3 linked regions of the Saccharomyces cerevisiae S288C genome follow. The protein of the gene in region 1 binds, or shares a complex with, the protein of each later gene. Each region holds a gene or a part of one and is shown in the gene's direction. Other genes may lie near its edges.

The links.
Region 2: the proteins of SIP2 (region 1) and SNF4 are in contact, whole or in part, in a crystal structure (PDB 2QLV), measured with the Saccharomyces cerevisiae proteins. Residues at the interface, in NP_011307.1 of Saccharomyces cerevisiae: Thr212 (codon at 4,545), Arg216 (codon at 4,557), Asp227 (codon at 4,590), Thr231 (codon at 4,602), Ala232 (codon at 4,605), Thr233 (codon at 4,608), Asp234 (codon at 4,611), Gln235 (codon at 4,614), Met236 (codon at 4,617), Gly237 (codon at 4,620), Asn238 (codon at 4,623), Phe239 (codon at 4,626), Tyr242 (codon at 4,635), Asn389 (codon at 5,076), Thr390 (codon at 5,079), Tyr399 (codon at 5,106), Lys400 (codon at 5,109), Gln401 (codon at 5,112), Lys402 (codon at 5,115), Tyr403 (codon at 5,118), Val404 (codon at 5,121), Thr405 (codon at 5,124), Gln406 (codon at 5,127), Ile407 (codon at 5,130), Leu408 (codon at 5,133), Tyr409 (codon at 5,136), Thr410 (codon at 5,139), Pro411 (codon at 5,142); in NP_011400.1 of Saccharomyces cerevisiae: Phe25 (codon at 1,627), Lys29 (codon at 1,639), Tyr32 (codon at 1,648), Asp33 (codon at 1,651), Val34 (codon at 1,654), Leu35 (codon at 1,657), Pro36 (codon at 1,660), Val37 (codon at 1,663), Ser38 (codon at 1,666), Tyr39 (codon at 1,669), Arg40 (codon at 1,672), Leu41 (codon at 1,675), Ile42 (codon at 1,678), Val43 (codon at 1,681), Leu44 (codon at 1,684), Asp45 (codon at 1,687), Ser47 (codon at 1,693), Leu48 (codon at 1,696), Lys52 (codon at 1,708), Val56 (codon at 1,720), Gln59 (codon at 1,729), Asn60 (codon at 1,732), Trp68 (codon at 1,756), His127 (codon at 1,933), Pro128 (codon at 1,936), Ser129 (codon at 1,939), Asp151 (codon at 2,005), Ile160 (codon at 2,032), Val161 (codon at 2,035), Val162 (codon at 2,038).
Region 3: SIP2 (region 1) and SIP1 share a complex: the UniProt entries of both Saccharomyces cerevisiae proteins name them as parts of the SNF1 kinase complex.

Annotation. Positions count from the first base shown.
Region 1 is NC_001139.9:93,427-100,963, forward strand, and holds SIP2 (Sip2p), read left to right. Parts: upstream 1-3,911; coding exon 3,912-5,159; downstream 5,160-7,537. Other genes in the region: NCS6 (Ncs6p), read left to right, coding at 1-165; Rab family GTPase YPT32, read left to right, coding at 366-1,034; MIG2 (Mig2p), read left to right, coding at 2,432-3,580; chromatin-remodeling protein SPT16, read left to right, coding at 5,543-7,537. UniProt on the Saccharomyces cerevisiae protein: Beta subunit of the SNF1 kinase complex, which is required for transcriptional, metabolic, and developmental adaptations in response to glucose limitation.
Region 2 is NC_001139.9:290,479-296,589, forward strand, and holds SNF4 (AMP-activated serine/threonine-protein kinase regulatory subunit SNF4), read left to right. Parts: upstream 1-1,554; coding exon 1,555-2,523; downstream 2,524-6,111. Other genes in the region: ubiquitin-protein transferase activating protein CDC20, read left to right, coding at 1-1,163; YGL114W (uncharacterized protein), read left to right, coding at 2,982-5,159; SLD3 (Sld3p), read left to right, coding at 5,454-6,111. UniProt on the Saccharomyces cerevisiae protein: Adenine nucleotides-binding subunit gamma of AMP-activated protein kinase (AMPK), an energy sensor protein kinase that plays a key role in regulating cellular energy metabolism.
Region 3 is NC_001136.10:1,311,738-1,319,647, reverse strand, and holds SIP1 (Sip1p), read left to right. Parts: upstream 1-1,874; coding exon 1,875-4,322; downstream 4,323-7,910. Other genes in the region: DYN2 (dynein light chain), read left to right, coding at 31-261; CAD1 (Cad1p), read left to right, coding at 373-1,602; ARO80 (Aro80p), read right to left, coding at 4,756-7,608. UniProt on the Saccharomyces cerevisiae protein: Beta subunit of the SNF1 kinase complex, which is required for transcriptional, metabolic, and developmental adaptations in response to glucose limitation.

The DNA of each region.
Region 1 (7,537 bases):
AATAGATGCGCTAGATGTGGATATCTGTCGTCAAATAACATTTGCAAGGCGTGCATGTTGCTGGAAGGACTGGAGAAAAGTAGAGCCCAAGTGGCAATCGAGAATGACACTTCTGCCGATGGTGCAGCCTTGAAGCTGAGAGCTCTTGAGAAACTCAGCTTTTGACATATATATAGCTCGCAGTAGAAGAATGCAGCGTAACATAATATAATATAATATAGTACGGCGCGCCCTCCATTAGAACGCGCAACACAATAAAGACAAATAAAAGAATCAGCTATAAAGCTGGCCATTGCATGGTTCGCGCTGGAAAGAGAGGAAAAGCGTGGTGATAAAGAGCGAACCAAGCATATTGTTTTCCAAGAATGAGCAACGAAGATTACGGATACGACTACGATTATTTATTTAAGATAGTTCTTATCGGCGACTCCGGTGTGGGTAAATCTAATCTGTTGTCGAGATTTACAACCGATGAATTCAACATTGAATCCAAATCCACGATTGGCGTGGAATTCGCTACAAGAACCATTGAAGTTGAAAACAAGAAGATAAAAGCACAGATTTGGGACACGGCAGGTCAAGAACGTTACAGGGCCATCACGTCTGCGTACTACCGTGGTGCTGTAGGTGCACTTATAGTGTATGATATAAGCAAATCAAGTTCATACGAAAATTGCAACCACTGGCTTACCGAACTGAGAGAGAACGCAGATGACAACGTGGCTGTTGGGTTGATAGGGAACAAATCAGATCTGGCTCATTTAAGAGCAGTACCAACCGATGAAGCGAAAAATTTCGCAATGGAAAACCAAATGTTATTTACTGAGACAAGTGCTTTAAATAGTGATAATGTAGATAAAGCATTTAGAGAACTGATCGTAGCCATCTTCCAAATGGTAAGCAAACATCAAGTAGACTTAAGCGGGTCGGGTACCAACAACATGGGCTCTAATGGCGCTCCAAAGGGTCCTACCATCAGCTTAACACCGGCACCAAAGGAAGACAAGAAGAAAAAATCCAGCAACTGTTGTTAAAAATTTTGTGCCCTACTAAGGTCGCATGGTTTCATGCATATTCTGTCTACATATAACCCCCGTTAATAATGCTTTTATAAATATAATCAATTACATATACCTTCCCAAGTTATTTATTACTAACCTTCGTTGCACGCAAGAAAAAATGTATTAACGTACATACATTTTCTAAATAGACCTTTCCTGACGCCTGCATTTTGCAATAGCCGAAGATAAGAATATGATTTTTTTTTTACGATTTAAATATTCTGTTGTTGTGCAGTCTAAAAACACACGTGTATGTTTTTTTCCGCACGCATGAGCAGAATTAGACGGTTTTATAAACGTTCGCTCTGTGTATTTCACGTACCTTCCCGGATACAAATTTCGTCATGGTTTATATTGGAAGTTTTTCCGAAATTGCGGGTTTTGAAGGTTTATCCGAGACGACGTGAGGGGTAGGCAGGAGAAGGAAGGCTGTTTACGTACGCAAGGATGGGGTACGACAATGATTCAATTTCTGTTGCTAAGTTTTTTGTTATTTTTTCATATTGGCCTACTCATCTTTGATATCATTATTTTTTCGAATCTACATTAGAGCGTGTTTCGGAAAACAAACTCGCTCGATACAGTAATTGCGTTTTATTTACGGAAATTACCGTTCTCGGTTCCAAGAAGGTTAGAAAAATCGGTTGTCGCTCTTTCTTTCCCCCACTTGTAAAAACAAAGAAAGTATAAAATAGTTTATGGCCCTTAAGGCAGGCCTTGTTGAATTTGAGCTATACCTACCCCAATGATAGTTCTGTGGTAGTTTGTTTGAATATGTAATATGAGAAGCACGATGGCAAACGATAATCTTCACTGAGCTGATTTACGAGCGACCATCATCTCCACGGTGCGAATTAATAAGCTGTGGCGATGTGCTGTAGTTGCCCTATCGCCCCTGCGGAGCTTGCGTCAACTAGCTCTCCCCTTTCCCCATTGAAGTTAGCGTATTACCATCAGTTAATGATTGATAGGCTCATACGAAGAAGAAAAAAAGCCGGGATAAGAAACCCCGCCTCCACTTTTTTGGCTCATCCGAAAATTTATCCGCGGAGACATCCACGGAGCACCCGCAAAACTGAAGTAATAACTCTAAATTATATGCCGCTGAGAAAAATCTCGTACGAGGATACGGTAAATAATCCGTGCGAGAAAGTTTTTCCGAAAATCATTCCCGGTCAAAAGCGTTTCTGGTATATAAGCGATTGGGAAACCCGTCTATAATACGTAGTAACTTACGATCTGCCTGTCAAATTGTGTGCTTGTCCTTGTACTATTACCATTGTGTAGCTTATCTTAACTCTCAATTAAGTTTTAACTCACGCTAAGACTATTGACCTCGAGAACAAACAAAATAAAAATAAAAAAAGAGAATGCCTAAAAAGCAAACGAATTTCCCAGTAGATAACGAAAACAGACCTTTTAGATGTGATACCTGTCACCGTGGTTTCCATCGGTTAGAACATAAAAAGAGACACTTGAGAACACACACTGGGGAAAAACCTCATCATTGCGCATTTCCTGGTTGTGGGAAAAGTTTCAGTAGAAGCGATGAACTGAAAAGGCACATGAGAACGCATACAGGGCAATCTCAAAGGAGATTGAAGAAAGCTAGCGTACAGAAACAGGAGTTTTTGACAGTAAGCGGAATTCCTACCATTGCATCGGGCGTGATGATACACCAACCAATACCGCAAGTCCTACCAGCAAATATGGCCATAAATGTTCAGGCAGTAAATGGAGGTAACATTATACACGCTCCCAATGCGGTGCACCCAATGGTGATACCAATCATGGCCCAACCAGCCCCCATTCATGCCTCCGCTGCATCTTTCCAGCCTGCAACTTCTCCTATGCCAATTTCTACATACACTCCAGTTCCATCGCAATCATTCACCTCTTTCCAGAGCTCTATTGGCTCCATACAGTCAAATAGTGATGTTTCATCTATCTTCTCGAACATGAATGTTCGCGTAAACACTCCACGCTCTGTGCCAAACTCTCCGAATGATGGATATTTACACCAGCAACATATCCCACAGCAGTATCAGCATCAAACTGCCAGCCCTTCTGTTGCCAAGCAGCAGAAAACTTTTGCACATTCTCTTGCATCTGCATTATCTACCTTACAAAAAAGAACGCCTGTAAGTGCCCCTTCCACCACTATAGAATCACCATCCTCACCAAGTGATTCCAGTCATACCTCTGCATCCAGCAGCGCTATCTCTTTGCCTTTCAGCAATGCTCCTTCTCAGCTCGCCGTGGCCAAAGAACTTGAGTCCGTCTATTTAGATTCCAATAGATACACCACCAAGACTAGGAGGGAAAGAGCAAAATTCGAAATTCCTGAAGAACAAGAAGAAGATACCAATAACAGCAGCAGTGGTAGTAATGAGGAGGAGCACGAGTCGCTAGATCATGAATCTAGCAAAAGCCGAAAGAAATTGTCAGGCGTAAAATTGCCGCCTGTACGTAACCTACTGAAACAAATTGATGTTTTCAACGGTCCCAAAAGAGTTTAACCTTTACGGCCCCTTTTTATCTCACCATTTTTCCTCTAACGAACTGTCATGAAACAACTTAGCATATAACGCGTACTTACATAGATAGATTAAATAGATAACCATGCATATCACTAACTAGCATCGTCATGAATAGCACGTTTACCTATACGAATTGCGGCCGGCATGGTCTTTTATATTGCTCCCTTGGACCGAGTAAAGATTTACCTTGCGTTTTCGGATCGTCAAAATCTTTTAGGGAAAGGATAAATACACCACAAGATTCCTGGGAAATGAAAAGTATCTGAAATAATTGTGCTTTTGGAAGGGTACTGAGAGCAGTGAAGTTTCTATGGGTACTACGACAAGTCATCCAGCCCAAAAAAAGCAAACAACAAAAAAGTGTCGTGCACCTATCATGAGTGACGTTAGAGAAAAACCCAGCAATGCTCAAGGCTGCGAACCGCAAGAAATGGATGCTGTGAGCAAGAAAGTTACTGAACTGAGCTTAAATAAATGTTCAGATTCCCAAGACGCGGGGCAGCCTTCAAGGGAGGGATCTATTACCAAAAAAAAATCGACGTTATTGCTGCGTGATGAGGACGAGCCCACTATGCCAAAGCTATCTGTTATGGAAACTGCTGTGGACACTGACTCTGGGTCTTCGTCTACTAGCGATGATGAAGAGGGAGATATTATTGCCCAGACGACAGAGCCCAAGCAAGATGCCAGTCCTGATGATGATCGCTCAGGCCATTCTTCGCCCAGAGAGGAGGGACAACAGCAAATACGTGCCAAAGAAGCTTCGGGAGGTCCAAGTGAAATCAAGAGCTCATTAATGGTTCCCGTGGAGATAAGGTGGCAGCAAGGTGGTTCAAAAGTTTACGTGACAGGCTCATTCACCAAATGGAGGAAAATGATCGGTTTGATACCTGATTCTGACAATAATGGCTCATTTCATGTGAAGCTAAGGCTGCTTCCAGGCACACATAGATTCAGATTTATAGTGGATAATGAGCTTAGAGTTAGTGATTTCCTGCCCACAGCAACTGATCAGATGGGAAACTTCGTCAATTACATAGAAGTCAGGCAACCAGAAAAAAACCCAACTAACGAAAAGATAAGGTCCAAGGAAGCAGATTCCATGCGACCTCCCACCAGCGATCGATCCTCAATTGCTCTACAAATTGGTAAGGATCCAGACGATTTTGGTGACGGATATACAAGGTTTCATGAAGATCTGTCACCCAGACCTCCGTTGGAATATACAACAGACATTCCCGCCGTGTTTACTGACCCGTCTGTCATGGAACGATACTATTATACCTTGGATCGTCAGCAAAGCAATACTGATACGTCATGGCTGACACCACCCCAATTACCTCCTCAGTTGGAGAATGTTATCTTGAATAAATACTATGCCACGCAAGACCAGTTCAACGAGAACAACTCAGGCGCTCTGCCCATTCCGAACCATGTGGTGCTTAACCACTTGGTTACTAGTAGCATTAAGCACAATACACTTTGTGTAGCCTCCATCGTTCGATATAAACAGAAATATGTCACCCAGATTCTTTATACGCCCATAGAGTCCTCGTAATCCGGGATTCCTACTTTTTAAAGGCGTATTGTATATATTTTTGGCAGCTATGGCACACTAATTTCTATTTCCAATTTAGTGTAAGCAGAGATATAGAAGCATATAACATAATGATTTACTAATGGGCTCAGTACTCTCAATGCTTATTGTTATCACAAACCACGATACTAATACCCGGAAGTCGCGTGATCTTTTTTTTTTTCGGAAAATGAGAATCGCCACTTTTCTAACGAAAGAATATTGAAATCTTAATATTGGTGAGAAGAGGAATAAAAGTAGCTAAGAGAGTCACGGGACTAAAAGGTAAAAAGTTCAGCTATTCCAACTTTACTCCTTTCTGATATTGCACCTTTCGTGAACTGGCTTCGTGTATTTAAGTGAATATGGAAGAGCTGAATATTGATTTTGACGTATTTAAGAAAAGGATTGAATTGTTGTATTCCAAGTACAATGAGTTTGAAGGTTCTCCAAATTCGCTGCTGTTTGTTTTAGGTTCGTCCAACGCTGAAAACCCGTACCAGAAGACGACCATATTGCATAATTGGTTGCTAAGTTACGAATTTCCCGCTACTTTGATTGCATTAGTTCCCGGAAAGGTTATTATAATTACTAGTTCTGCCAAGGCCAAGCATTTACAAAAGGCAATTGATCTATTTAAAGACCCTGAAAGCAAAATTACGCTGGAATTGTGGCAAAGAAACAATAAAGAACCAGAACTCAATAAAAAGTTATTTGATGACGTTATTGCCTTAATCAATAGCGCTGGTAAAACAGTGGGTATCCCTGAAAAGGACTCTTACCAAGGTAAATTTATGACTGAGTGGAACCCAGTATGGGAAGCGGCTGTGAAGGAGAACGAATTCAATGTCATTGATATTTCGCTGGGTCTTTCTAAAGTTTGGGAAGTGAAGGATGTTAACGAACAAGCCTTCCTGTCCGTTTCAAGTAAGGGGTCGGACAAATTTATGGACCTTTTATCCAATGAAATGGTTCGGGCAGTTGACGAGGAGTTGAAAATCACCAATGCCAAGTTATCAGACAAAATTGAAAATAAAATTGATGATGTGAAATTTTTGAAGCAATTGAGTCCCGATTTAAGCGCATTATGCCCACCAAACTACAAATTCAACTTTGATTTATTGGATTGGACCTATTCTCCAATCATTCAGTCCGGGAAAAAGTTTGATCTTAGGGTTTCTGCCCGTTCTACCAATGATCAGTTGTACGGCAACGGTTGTATTTTAGCTTCATGTGGTATTCGTTACAATAATTATTGTTCTAATATTACTAGGACCTTTTTGATCGATCCATCTGAAGAAATGGCCAACAACTACGATTTTCTATTAACTTTGCAAAAAGAAATTGTAACTAACATTCTGAAGCCCGGCCGTACACCAAAAGAAGTTTATGAATCAGTAATAGAATACATCGAAAAAACCAAACCTGAACTAGTGCCCAATTTCACCAAAAACATTGGTTCATTGATTGGTCTCGAATTTAGAGATTCTAACTTTATATTAAATGTTAAGAATGATTACCGTAAAATCCAACGCGGTGACTGCTTTAATATTTCGTTTGGTTTCAATAATCTGAAAGATTCTCAAAGTGCTAACAACTACGCTTTACAATTAGCTGATACGGTTCAAATTCCTCTCGATGAAACAGAGCCTCCACGCTTCTTAACAAATTACACCAAAGCCAAATCCCAGATATCATTTTATTTCAATAATGAAGAAGAAGACAATAATAAAAAGAAATCTTCACCTGCCACCAAAGTCCCTAGTAAACCAGACAGAAATTCCAAAATTTTAAGAACAAAGTTACGTGGCGAAGCCCGTGGTGGTGCCGAAGACGCTCAAAAGGAGCAAATTCGTAAAGAAAACCAAAAGAAGCTACACGAAAAATTGGAAAAGAATGGATTACTCAGATTTAGTGCTGCTGATGCCAATGGCCCAGATAGTGAACCTCGTCAATACTTCAAAAAATATGAATCTTATGTTCGGGATTCACAACTACCAACCAATATTCGTGATCTAAGAATTCATGTCGACTGGAAAAGCCAAACAATTATTCTACCCATTTACGGTAGGCCAGTCCCATTTCATATAAATTCATATAAGAATGGTTCTAAAAACGAAGAAGGCGAATATACGTATTTACGTTTGAACTTTAATTCACCGGGATCTTCTGGTGGTATTTCTAAAAAAGTGGAGGAATTGCCGTATGAGGAATCAGCAGACAATCAATTTGTACGTTCGATTACACTAAGATCCAAAGATGGTGACCGCATGAGTGAAACCTTTAAACAAATTGCAGATTTGAAAAAAGAAGCCACAAAGAGAGAGCAAGAACGTAAGGCGCTTGCTGATGTTGTTCAA
Region 2 (6,111 bases), 190 kb from region 1:
AAAGAACACATTATAGTTATCAGCAGGAACAAAAAATTCCTGATTTAATTAAATTAAGGAAAATCAATACCAATCCGGAAAGAATTCTTGATGCACCTGGTTTCCAAGACGACTTTTATTTAAACTTGTTAAGTTGGTCCAAAAAAAATGTCTTAGCTATAGCACTAGACACTGCATTATATCTGTGGAATGCCACCACTGGGGATGTTTCCCTGTTAACGGATTTCGAAAACACCACAATATGCAGCGTTACGTGGTCTGATGATGATTGTCATATCTCTATCGGTAAAGAGGATGGGAACACCGAAATTTGGGACGTTGAGACCATGTCATTAATTAGAACTATGAGATCAGGCTTAGGTGTCCGTATCGGTTCATTGTCTTGGTTAGATACTTTGATAGCTACAGGCAGTCGTAGTGGAGAAATTCAAATCAATGATGTCAGGATCAAACAGCATATTGTATCTACATGGGCAGAGCACACAGGCGAAGTCTGCGGTTTGAGCTATAAAAGTGACGGATTGCAACTTGCATCTGGTGGTAATGATAACACTGTAATGATTTGGGATACCAGAACGTCCTTGCCTCAATTTTCCAAGAAGACGCATACTGCTGCTGTAAAAGCACTAAGCTGGTGTCCATATTCGCCAAATATTCTAGCCTCTGGAGGCGGACAAACAGATAAACACATCCATTTTTGGAACAGTATCACAGGTGCACGAGTTGGCTCAATCAATACCGGATCCCAGGTGAGCTCTTTACATTGGGGCCAAAGTCATACGTCAACCAATGGTGGTATGATGAATAAAGAGATTGTTGCCACAGGAGGTAATCCAGAGAATGCAATCTCTGTTTATAATTATGAAACAAAATTCAAAGTTGCAGAAGTAGTTCATGCTCATGAAGCAAGAATATGCTGTTCTCAATTGTCCCCTGACGGAACCACATTGGCCACAGTGGGAGGAGATGAAAACTTAAAATTTTATAAGATATTTGATCCAAGATGTACAGGAAGATCGAGAGAAGACGGATTGATGGATGGTATGCTAGGACTTATTGGCAAGGAAGGTTGTCGAACAAATGATAAGGAGAATCGTTCCAAAAATTCGAGTGAGATTCATACAAGGAGGCCCTCTAGTACCAGCCAATATTTGATCAGGTGATAAAATAAAAAAAATAAAAGTTCATGTCAAGGCATATAATGAAATTTCCATACACGCATACATAATGTATAAACATAAATGTATTCAAGAAGCTTAAGAAATAAAAGTAATGAACCTTGAGAATACATCAAGATATAACTCATCACATGTTAAAGAACCCACACACCACACGCGCGAGAACTGGGAGGGAGAGAAATTTAGCAAATAACAAAATTTAGGCCTTGGAAGAAACCATAGCAATGCAATAATCGTTATTAACATAATATCTACATTGAGAACTTCTTGGGCTAGTGGTTTTGCTGCAAACTGGAAAATTGTATCAATCTTTTAACGTTAGCTAAACATCTTCTGCTGTGTTAGCATTAGGAGGAAGCGAAAAGGAAAATACATAATGAAACCGACACAGGATTCACAAGAAAAGGTTTCTATTGAACAGCAGTTAGCTGTAGAATCGATAAGGAAGTTTTTGAACTCGAAAACATCTTATGACGTGTTGCCTGTTTCTTACCGTTTAATTGTCTTGGACACCTCGTTGTTAGTGAAGAAATCACTGAATGTTCTTTTGCAAAATAGCATTGTCTCTGCGCCATTATGGGACTCCAAGACTTCCAGGTTCGCTGGACTTCTAACTACTACAGATTTTATTAATGTCATCCAGTATTACTTCTCCAATCCAGATAAGTTCGAATTAGTAGACAAATTACAGTTAGATGGATTAAAAGATATAGAGCGTGCTCTCGGTGTTGATCAACTAGATACAGCTTCAATTCATCCTTCTAGACCCTTATTTGAGGCGTGTCTTAAGATGTTAGAATCAAGAAGTGGTAGAATACCACTGATCGATCAAGATGAAGAGACACATAGAGAAATTGTCGTTAGTGTTCTTACGCAATATAGAATTCTGAAGTTCGTTGCTTTAAATTGCAGGGAAACACATTTTCTAAAGATTCCAATTGGGGACTTGAACATTATTACGCAAGATAACATGAAAAGCTGTCAAATGACCACTCCGGTCATAGACGTCATTCAGATGCTTACCCAAGGTCGGGTTTCTTCCGTCCCTATTATTGACGAAAACGGCTACTTAATCAACGTATATGAAGCATACGATGTCCTAGGCTTGATAAAAGGAGGCATCTACAACGACCTGTCATTGAGCGTCGGAGAAGCCCTTATGAGGAGAAGTGATGATTTTGAGGGTGTTTATACATGCACTAAGAATGATAAATTATCTACTATTATGGATAACATCAGAAAAGCAAGGGTGCATAGATTCTTTGTAGTTGATGACGTCGGACGGTTGGTTGGTGTCTTGACGTTAAGCGATATTCTCAAATATATCCTTCTAGGTAGCAACTGAAACGAGCCGATGAGATTTTTGTGTACATACTATAAATAAATGCAACTAATAAAGTCATGATTAATCAGTCATGCATACTTCATCTGACCAATATATTTTCATCTTGCTTATTTTGGGTATAATTCGGCGGAAATTCGGTTATAAAGCGAAGTGAAAAATCGATTAGTAATGATACTGATGCGATCTCTGGGAGGGGGGAATGCTGCATATAAGGGTGAAGGAAGATAATGCAAAGCCTTTTGTAGTATTGTCTGTTGATACCAAAATAAATTAGTTCATCAAAAAGGTACAGGCAGCTAAAGAAAAGCTGTAAATTTAACGCCGTAGAAGGTATTTTTCGTGAGATCTATCTCAAGGCATCATTTTTTTTATTTTCGCACCAAGATAGGAAGAAAAAGAGTCACAGTATAGAGGACTAACCGTTAAAGATTCTAAATCGGTACTGTAAATACTTTGAAATGCCTCAATCTACTCCAAGTCAAGAAGTACAGCGTGTACCATGGGATAATAAACCTGCTTTGAAGCAGATAACACTCCGAGCAACCATAGCAGGTATCGCTATAGGGTCTCTGGTGCTAACATCAAATTTTCAATTTGGCCTGCAAACCGGTTGGGTTTCCATGATGTCCCTGCCATCGGCATTGTTAGCTTGTGCTTTCTTTAAAAATATCTGGCCATTAATATTTCCGAACGACAGGCCTTTCAGTGACGTTGAAAATGTATACGTACAAAGTATGGCAGTAGCTGTCGGAACAGGCCCATTAGCCTTTGGGTTTGTCGGCGTCATACCTGCCATCGAGAAGTTCCTTACTAACGACGAAAGTGGTGGATTAAGGGAACAAGGACAGTCCTTCACTTTTAGAGAATTGTTAATATGGTCCACAGCCCTAGCATTCTTCGGTATTTTTTTTGCAGTTCCTCTAAGAAAGCAAGTAATTGTTAGAGAGAAACTTCCCTTCCCCAGTGGTAGCGCCACGGCCACTTTAATTTCAGTGCTAAATGGAACTGAGATTTTACAAGAGGTTTCTAAGTCAGAGTTATTGGAAATGAGGCAGAGGAGATTGAATGAATGCCCTGAAGTGCTACAACCCAACAGAGATCCAGAGGAGGCGGATTATTTAATGAACTCTTCTCATAGCGAACTTGGTGATTATACGGCAACTAGCCAAGATGGAAGTTCTATCCTTTCTACTGGCTCTGAGAACTACAGAGCGAATATTATTATTTTATTGAAAACTTTTGTTGTTTCTTCGCTTTACACCATGGTGTCATATTTTGTACCGGTAATACGGTCTATTCCAGTCTTCGGAAAATACCTCTCGAACAATTATCTCTGGAATTTTCAGCCGTCGCCTGCGTATATAGGCCAAGGGATAATAATGGGTCTTCCAACAGTATCGTATATGCTTATCGGGTGCTTCTTAGGCTGGGGTGTGTTAGCACCATTGGCGAGATACAAAAGATGGGTACCACCAGATGCTGATGTCCACGACTGGGAGGAGGGAGTGCAAGGATGGATTCTTTGGTCGTCGCTTTCAATAATGGTTGCTGACAGTGTAGTCGCTTTTATTGTTGTGACAGTGAAGTCCATTGTGAAATTTATTCTTATAGATGACAAAGCTGCTTTACTGAACAACATAATCGATGATACATTTCAATCTATGTTACTGGAGGAGGAACGCGCCATTAATAGCAGCAGAAGAAATACATATGTTGATGGAAGGCAGGACACCGTAAGATTAGTGAGTAGAGATAACGAAATAGAAGTAGATTCGAAGCATTTGGTTCGCTATACCACCGTTATCAGTGGATGTCTAGTCTCCTCGATAATATGCATTGTTTCCATAATATATTTGTTTGGGATACAAGTAATTCCCCTATATGCTATTATCACTGCTTTGATACTTGCGTTGTTTCTATCTATTCTCGGTATTCGAGCACTTGGAGAGACCGATCTGAATCCTGTGAGCGGCATTGGTAAGATCTCTCAATTGATTTTTGCCTTTATCATACCAAGGGATAGACCTGGATCAGTGTTAATGAACGTGGTATCGGGAGGTATTGCAGAAGCCTCTGCCCAACAGGCGGGCGATTTAATGCAGGATTTGAAAACGGGGCACCTCCTCGGCGCCTCCCCAAGAGCTCAGTTCTGTGCCCAATTGATAGGGGCCTGTTGGTCAATTATTTTGTCTAGCTTCATGTATTTGTGCTACAATAAAGTTTATTCAATTCCGAGTGAGCAATTCAGGATACCGACAGCAGTAGTGTGGATAGATTGTGCAAGACTAGTAACTGGTAAAGGGCTCCCTGATAAGGCCTTGGAGTGCTCCATGATTCTCGGAGTCATATTTGCCGTTTTATCATTAATCAGAAACACTTATAGAGATTACGGATACGGGTGGATATTATATATTCCGTCTGGTGTAGCAGTCGGTGTTGGTATATTTAATTCTCCCAGTTTTACAATTGCAAGATTCATCGGCGGGTGGGCTTCGCATTTTTGGTTGAAGAATCATAGGGGTGACTTAAATGCGAAAACAAAAATGATTGTATTCAGTTCGGGGTTGGTCTTAGGTGAAGGTATCTTTAGCGTAATAAACATGCTCTTCATCTGCTTAAATGTCCCTCACTATTAGGTATATAATATTTTACTAATAAAGAATTTACAAAGTTTACAAATTTTAAATTATTTACTCATCACATAATTCGATGTCTTAGATTTCCCTGTATATATATTTCTAGGTGACAAAAATCCTAGGCAAAATGTTATATTATACGCGACCTTGAAATATCGGCTATCTTGGTGTACAACATGGTCCATTTAAGAAAAATAAAAAAAAGTGATGGGCACTGTTAAAACAGGCAGAAGCCTCATTCATAACTGCTGAAGGGTTAAGATCGTATAGGTAGGAACGATCTGACCTCTCATAATGGAAACATGGGAAGTCATAGCATCGGTAAAAGAAGCAACAAAAGGCCTTGACTTGAGCTTAGATCATCCACTTATTATTAAATCCGAGGACGTGCCCAGTAACATTCTCCAATTACTGCAACAGAAGAATCGACGTCAATTGAAACACATCTGCATGAAATCAAGAAAAGAGTATTTTCTACTAGAGGAATATGGGCCAGGATTTTGGGTTAAGTGGCCGTACAATTATTTCAATGGTTACAGCTTACCAGAAAGGCGTACGGAAGTTGTAACGACAGTTGAAAGAGAAAGAGCTAAGCGTGAAACGTTAAAAACATGGGACGAATTGAAATTTAAAGAGCTTCTTCATTTATGGTCAGAAGAACCCAAGGGCTCGTGTAAGCTTGAGAAGGACAAAGACCTTAAACTGGATATGAATCCCCCAGATATGAAAGGCGAATCAAAAATTAATGACTACTATTCAGACCCTAAAGAGTACATAGAAAGTAAGTATTATGATGCTCTTTTTTCCATACATACGCCTCTCGCATATTTCGTCAAGTCAAATTTAGTAAGGCTCAAAAATACCTGCCGAACCAAGTACGGAAGTGACAGTTACAAAATAGCCTATCAAGCCATGCTGCAAAAATTTCTTCTCTCAATTGTACAATTCAAAG
Region 3 (7,910 bases), on another chromosome or scaffold:
TATATATTTACTAACAAGGAGAAAACTTAGACCGACAAGCTGAAAGAGGATATTTTAACCATCAGTAAAGATGCTCTGGACAAGTACCAGTTGGAAAGAGACATTGCTGGGACGGTAAAGAAGCAATTGGATGTCAAATACGGCAATACCTGGCATGTGATTGTCGGAAAGAACTTTGGGAGCTACGTGACACACGAAAAGGGCCATTTTGTTTATTTCTATATCGGTCCACTGGCGTTTTTAGTTTTCAAAACAGCATAAATAGTGTTTCTTCAATAGTTAATCGATAATCAATTACTATTATACTTTCATACGAATGGGGTGTTACTTTTAAGGACGACATATAAGCAATGGAACGACCAGTTAAGATAAATGGGCAATATCCTTCGGAAAGGTCAGCAAATATATTTAGCAGGTGACATGAAGAAGCAAATGTTGCTAAATAAAGATGGAACACCTAAGAGGAAGGTGGGCAGACCAGGCAGAAAAAGGATTGACTCTGAAGCTAAGAGTAGGAGGACTGCCCAGAATAGGGCAGCTCAACGAGCGTTCCGAGATAGGAAAGAAGCCAAAATGAAGAGTTTGCAAGAGAGGGTAGAGTTACTAGAACAGAAAGATGCGCAGAATAAGACTACCACGGACTTTTTACTATGTTCTTTAAAAAGTTTACTGTCGGAAATTACAAAATATAGAGCTAAGAATTCTGATGATGAAAGAATATTAGCCTTCCTCGATGATCTGCAAGAACAACAGAAAAGGGAAAACGAAAAAGGAACAAGTACAGCAGTTAGCAAGGCTGCAAAGGAATTGCCATCGCCTAATTCAGATGAAAACATGACTGTGAACACAAGTATAGAAGTACAGCCGCACACTCAAGAGAATGAGAAAGTTATGTGGAACATAGGCTCATGGAACGCTCCCAGTTTAACCAATTCGTGGGATTCTCCCCCCGGAAATCGAACAGGTGCCGTTACCATCGGTGACGAAAGTATTAATGGTAGTGAAATGCCAGATTTCAGTCTCGATCTTGTCTCCAATGATAGACAGACTGGTCTAGAAGCTTTAGATTACGACATTCATAACTACTTTCCTCAGCACTCTGAACGCCTGACCGCTGAAAAAATAGATACGTCAGCATGTCAATGTGAAATTGACCAAAAGTATCTTCCATACGAGACAGAAGATGATACTTTATTCCCCAGCGTGCTTCCCCTTGCTGTAGGGAGCCAGTGTAATAATATTTGCAACCGCAAGTGTATCGGGACCAAACCATGTTCAAATAAGGAGATCAAATGCGACTTAATAACAAGCCACCTGTTGAATCAGAAATCTCTAGCTTCGGTGCTTCCGGTGGCTGCTTCTCATACTAAAACAATTCGAACCCAATCTGAAGCAATTGAACACATTAGCAGCGCCATATCGAATGGAAAAGCGTCTTGCTACCACATTCTCGAAGAGATCTCCTCCCTACCAAAATATTCATCGTTGGACATAGATGATTTATGCAGCGAATTAATAATCAAGGCAAAATGTACAGATGACTGCAAAATAGTAGTCAAAGCTCGCGACTTACAGAGTGCTCTGGTTAGACAGCTCCTGTAGCATATAAACATATCTTGAGTATACATAATGTTGGATGAGAGCATGTAATATTGATCGCTTTGTACGATGATTATACCTTTTTTGTCTTTTTACCATTGTCTCTGATGGAATACTATTGACAATTAACAATGGTAGATATATCCGATACAAGTGGATACCTACATAAACAAGGTGTCTTACCTAGTGTTTCTTTCATTTGCACTTCTTTTTTTGCGTGTGGACTGACATCTTGGAAAGTTGAACTGTCATATTATATAGTTGTTGCAGCCGCCATGGGAAACAGTCCTTCTACTCAGGATCCATCGCATTCAACCAAAAAGGAGCATGGACATCATTTTCATGATGCATTCAATAAAGATCGTCAGGGAAGCATAACCTCTCAACTGTTTAACAATAGGAAGAGTACTCATAAGAGACGCGCCAGTCATACTAGCGAACATAATGGTGCCATTCCCCCTAGAATGCAATTACTTGCATCTCACGATCCATCGACAGATTGTGATGGGCGCATGAGCAGTGATACTACTATCGATAAGGGCCCGTCCCATCTATTCAAAAAGGATTATTCTTTGTCCTCTGCCGCAGACGTAAATGACACTACGTTGGCCAATTTGACTTTAAGTGATGATCACGATGTGGGTGCACCCGAAGAGCAGGTGAAATCTCCGTCGTTTTTGAGCCCAGGTCCATCAATGGCCACTGTCAAACGAACTAAAAGTGATCTGGATGATCTGTCTACTTTGAATTACACCATGGTTGACGAAACAACAGAAAATGAAAGAAACGACAAACCACACCATGAAAGGCATCGCTCAAGCATCATAGCTTTGAAAAAAAATCTTTTAGAAAGTTCAGCTACTGCTTCCCCTTCTCCAACGAGGTCTTCATCGGTGCATTCAGCATCACTTCCCGCCTTGACCAAGACGGATTCCATTGATATTCCTGTAAGACAACCCTATTCAAAGAAACCATCTATCCATGCATACCAATATCAATATCTCAATAACGACGAAACATTTTCTGAGAACTCTCAAATGGATAAAGAGGGAAACAGTGATAGTGTAGATGCAGAAGCAGGCGTACTTCAAAGTGAAGATATGGTTTTGAACCAGTCTCTTTTACAAAATGCTTTAAAAAAGGATATGCAACGTCTTTCAAGGGTGAATTCCTCTAATTCAATGTATACTGCAGAAAGGATAAGCCACGCTAATAACAATGGAAATATTGAAAATAACACCCGTAACAAGGGAAACGCGGGAGGCTCCAACGACGATTTTACCGCACCTATATCTGCTACTGCAAAAATGATGATGAAACTGTACGGTGATAAGACCTTGATGGAAAGAGATTTAAATAAGCACCATAATAAGACAAAGAAAGCCCAGAATAAAAAAATAAGGTCGGTTTCAAATTCGAGAAGATCCTCATTTGCTTCTTTGCATTCTTTACAATCAAGAAAGAGTATCTTAACAAACGGTTTGAATTTGCAGCCTTTGCATCCACTACATCCAATTATTAACGACAATGAAAGTCAATACTCTGCACCGCAGCATAGAGAAATATCGCATCACTCTAATTCCATGTCGAGTATGTCTTCAATATCATCAACAAACTCCACCGAAAATACTTTAGTTGTTCTAAAATGGAAAGACGATGGTACCGTGGCTGCAACCACGGAAGTCTTTATAGTAAGCACGGATATTGCTTCTGCTCTTAAAGAGCAAAGAGAGCTTACCTTGGATGAGAATGCAAGTTTAGACTCAGAAAAACAGTTAAATCCTAGGATCCGCATGGTTTATGATGATGTGCATAAGGAATGGTTTGTTCCAGATCTTTTTTTGCCTGCAGGAATTTATAGACTGCAATTCTCCATCAATGGTATATTGACTCACTCAAATTTTCTTCCTACAGCTACGGATTCAGAAGGCAATTTTGTCAACTGGTTTGAAGTATTGCCCGGTTATCATACGATCGAGCCATTTAGAAACGAAGCAGACATCGACTCGCAAGTAGAGCCAACACTGGATGAAGAATTGCCCAAGAGACCGGAACTTAAAAGATTTCCTTCTTCCTCTCGAAAATCTTCCTACTATTCTGCTAAGGGTGTTGAAAGGCCAAGTACACCGTTTTCAGATTATAGAGGCTTAAGTAGGTCCAGTTCAATAAATATGCGTGACTCATTTGTACGTCTGAAGGCTAGCAGTTTGGATTTGATGGCCGAGGTCAAGCCTGAGAGGTTGGTGTATTCGAACGAAATACCAAATTTATTTAATATAGGTGACGGCTCTACGATTTCTGTAAAAGGAGATTCTGATGACGTGCATCCCCAAGAACCTCCCAGCTTTACACATAGAGTTGTTGACTGTAATCAAGATGATTTATTTGCTACTTTACAGCAAGGCGGTAATATTGATGCAGAAACAGCAGAGGCGGTTTTTCTAAGTAGATACCCAGTTCCTGACTTGCCCATATACCTGAATTCATCCTATCTGAACAGAATACTAAACCAAAGCAATCAGAATTCAGAATCACATGAGAGGGATGAAGGTGCGATAAATCATATTATACCCCACGTGAATTTGAACCATTTACTGACAAGCAGTATTAGAGATGAAATAATCAGCGTAGCTTGCACTACTAGATATGAGGGGAAATTTATCACTCAAGTAGTTTATGCACCTTGTTATTATAAAACACAAAAGTCTCAGATCAGTAATTAGAATCTCAATTCGCAATGATTCTCACGAACTCTATTAATTCAATTTTTTTCTTTTTGATTCCTATGGCTCCTAGAACGTTTGCATTCCTTTTTTTTTTGTTCTAGTAGGTATTTCACGTCACGTTTCTGGCAATCCACTTCTCAGCATGCGTGGAATATACTTTAACATATCCAACGAATTTGCTGCATATTCTTATGTAATAGATAGCCGTTCCTAATGTGTAATGGCCTGCTTTGTTATAGAAATCATATATAAGTAGTGATTGAGCCGTAAAATCATCTCATATGCCCAATGGAAAACCAGTCATAGTATTATGAAGCATTCGCATTATTATATACCTCCATCTTCCCCTGTTATTCTGTCTTTGTATTTAAAATCATTTTTACGAATAGTGCGGTTGTCTTGGTTGATGACGTAATTCTTTGATATCTACTTATTTACGCGTTATTGGCCTTGAGTTATTAATATCATTATTGATGTTATTACTATTCACGAACAAGTTGTATAAATTTTCGAAATTATTATTATCACCATCTCCACATTGCATATATCGTTGCTCAATAAGTTCTGTCCATGGTTCTACAAATTCAAGCCCGATATCTTCACTAGCACCGAACCAATCTGTAACCTCGTCAGATAGAGATGGACCTTGGAAGAGTTCATTGTTCAGTAACGCTGTTGTGATATCGTTGTTTTGTTCAACAAAAGGATCAACGATACCTTTAGAAGATGTATCATTTGAATTCTGAGAATTGCTATTAATTTCCTCCGTCAAAGGCCTTTCCGAGGGTTCAAAAGTAGTCTCGGTTTTATTATATCCAATACGTTTAGAGAATATTGGCTTCTTAGTTAAGTCTTGTCCCTCCAGTGAGGATTCGCGATTGCTCTCTAGAGGAGTGGTGCCATCTCTTAATAAGGGTGGTCGTTCTAAGTAAGATTTTTTTCGAAGTTTCATCTCTGTACATAAGTACATTAATATGGCTGCGTATCTTTGACATAGATGTAATTCATCTGGTGTAGCTTCTTTCAAAGTAACCGCAGTGTCACGGATGATATCGAATGTTTCGTCAACCGATATTGCACTTAATTTTAAAATGTTTCTGGCATCTGGATTTGTTGCCAGTTCACTACCAGTAAGTGTTAGGTAGCATTTTACTATGAACGCAATGGATCTAATTATTCGTATTACCCATCTTACGGGCATGTATTTTAGCATTCCTTGCCTTGAAACTCGCTTTGCAGAACTCAATATTTCTTTTGCAGATCTGTATGCTAATTCCACATACCTCGCGCTTGTCACAATTTCATTCATATTCAATCTGCTTGTTTTCCCATCCACTTGCAGTGCGAGGGAAAAGATATAAAGTTGACAATAATTGAAATCTGTGATAATACTTTCACCATTTATTCTATCGATGTTATCAAATATTTGTTTTTTGTTCTTCCTATCTGCTAGTGAGAAAGGGACATCAGAAAGGGGTACAAGAAGCTCTCTGTAGTTACTGAGCCAGCCCTCTATCAAGGGAGAAAAAACACTTAGGACAGAGAGGTTGTGTCTCTGATCTGTCGTTGCCAATTTCCTCTTATTCTTCTCACAGTAAATCGTCTCATATGCTATGGATAGGATTCGAATGATCTCTATTTTTGCTCTTTGGGCGAATGAGAATCTTAGTGGAAATGGTGGTATGTGATTCTGTGCTAGATTAGTATCATCTTTTTTATTAGAATAATATAGAACATACTCATCGTTTAAAAACTCCCTCTCCCAATCAGTCAAAAAATTTTTCTCGTTGTCGTGGTCATTTTCTGAGTTTTCAAAAACTCTCTTCCACCTTAGTTTACTTTCTTCATCAGGCAAAATCTCATTCAGATAAAATTTTTCATTCCCAAGGTAATCCTCATTGCTTTCATTTCCATCGTTTTCAATTTTTCCTAAATTCAAGTTTAAAACGCTGAATGATTCTGCTAATAAGGATCTTTGATTCATATTCATAGCACTGGTAGTCTCAGATATATGAGTGACAATGAATACTTTTGAGCTGTTTTCAATGAATCCCATATCTTGCGCCAGCCTTACTGCAGACCCTGTCAGCATCCATGACATTCGGTCGCTTCTACGGATTGCGCCGACACCGGTCAATCCTTCTTCGTCCTTCCTCGTACTAATATTCTTACTTCCTCTAGCGTTGACATTATTTAACTCAGGATCATTTGCATAGTCAGACCATTTATAGTGGATACTCCTTGGGTTCCATTCCGTGAAAATTATGAAAGCAAGCACGGTGCCAATTGACCTAGTACTAGCCTCTGCCCAAATTGTTTGAGATATAAGCTTCTGGCAATACACCCATAATTTATCGTGAACTTCAATGTGTCTCATCCCATCTTCTCCATTGTCTAATCCTAAAGTATCGAAAGGATGATAGCGAGCAGAAACAGTCAAAATTGCACAAAACAAAATTGGATATTCTGCTAATTCTTTCGGATCATGCAATTGAAGTGGGATATTGGGAAAGAATGGGTGCATCGTGAGAAAAAATGCCTCTATGAGTTCAATCGCCTCCTCTTTAGTAAGCAAGCTATCTGGACCGATGTAATCGAAGTCGTCAATTTTCCGGGTAGGTGGAGGTCTCACTTTCCCGATTTCTTCCATTAATTGTGATGTTTTCCTATTCGTATTCAGCGTGTGGTTAAGCATATCTGCTGTATTTTCGTAAAGTGTGTTAGTACTGTCACTTTTTGAAAGTCGTTTCAACCCCTCGTCCGTAGCAGATTTATTTGTCGCATCCAAAGAACTTTTCAGTGGTTTCGGTGTTGTGGACTTCTCTTTTATGATTTCTTTTGCGCCTTCTTTTGCTACAGTTCCAGCAGCTTGGGCCAGAAACTCTAGGGCGTTCTGCATGGAGGAAAGTTCAAGCTTCCACTTCATCCCTTCTGATTTAAATGATTTTTCACTGCTAATCCCTTTTCTTGACAAAGGTACATCCGATAAAATTGGGCTCGTTGAGTCATTTTGTATCTCTTGCTTACTCTTACCTAGAGATGGCAGACTTATTGCATTAATCGAATTAGGAGGCAAGTCGTTCGAAGTTCCCTTATTAGAGCTAAAAATACATTTTTTTAGCTCCCTTTTGCAACGTGCACACGGTGGGTCGTGTGGGTTATCAACCGGACCAAGATCACATTTCACCTTCCTTGATCTGCAGCTGATGCAAGCTTGGTAGGTTCTTCTCCGTTTTGGAAGTTCAAATGCTGCGTTTCCCGAAGGCCTTTTCTTAGCAGACATAGAGGATAAAGCAGTGCTTAATGTAACCTTATTATGCGTGGATCATATATTCCCACGACTAACTTGATATTATTGCTTTAATTTATTCTCGCTCTTTTTTCATTGGTTAGTTACTATCTTCATTTATCTCGGTTATCATCGGATAGAATAGTGTACTCTCGTTGATTCCGAAAATATTAAAAAAAAGCCTTCATGTATTACTAAGAAGGACTCATAAAATTACAAATGCAATACTTGATGATATATATAATAATAGTAATGGCGTGAGCCTATGTGTATTAATGGGTATCAATTTTTGTGAT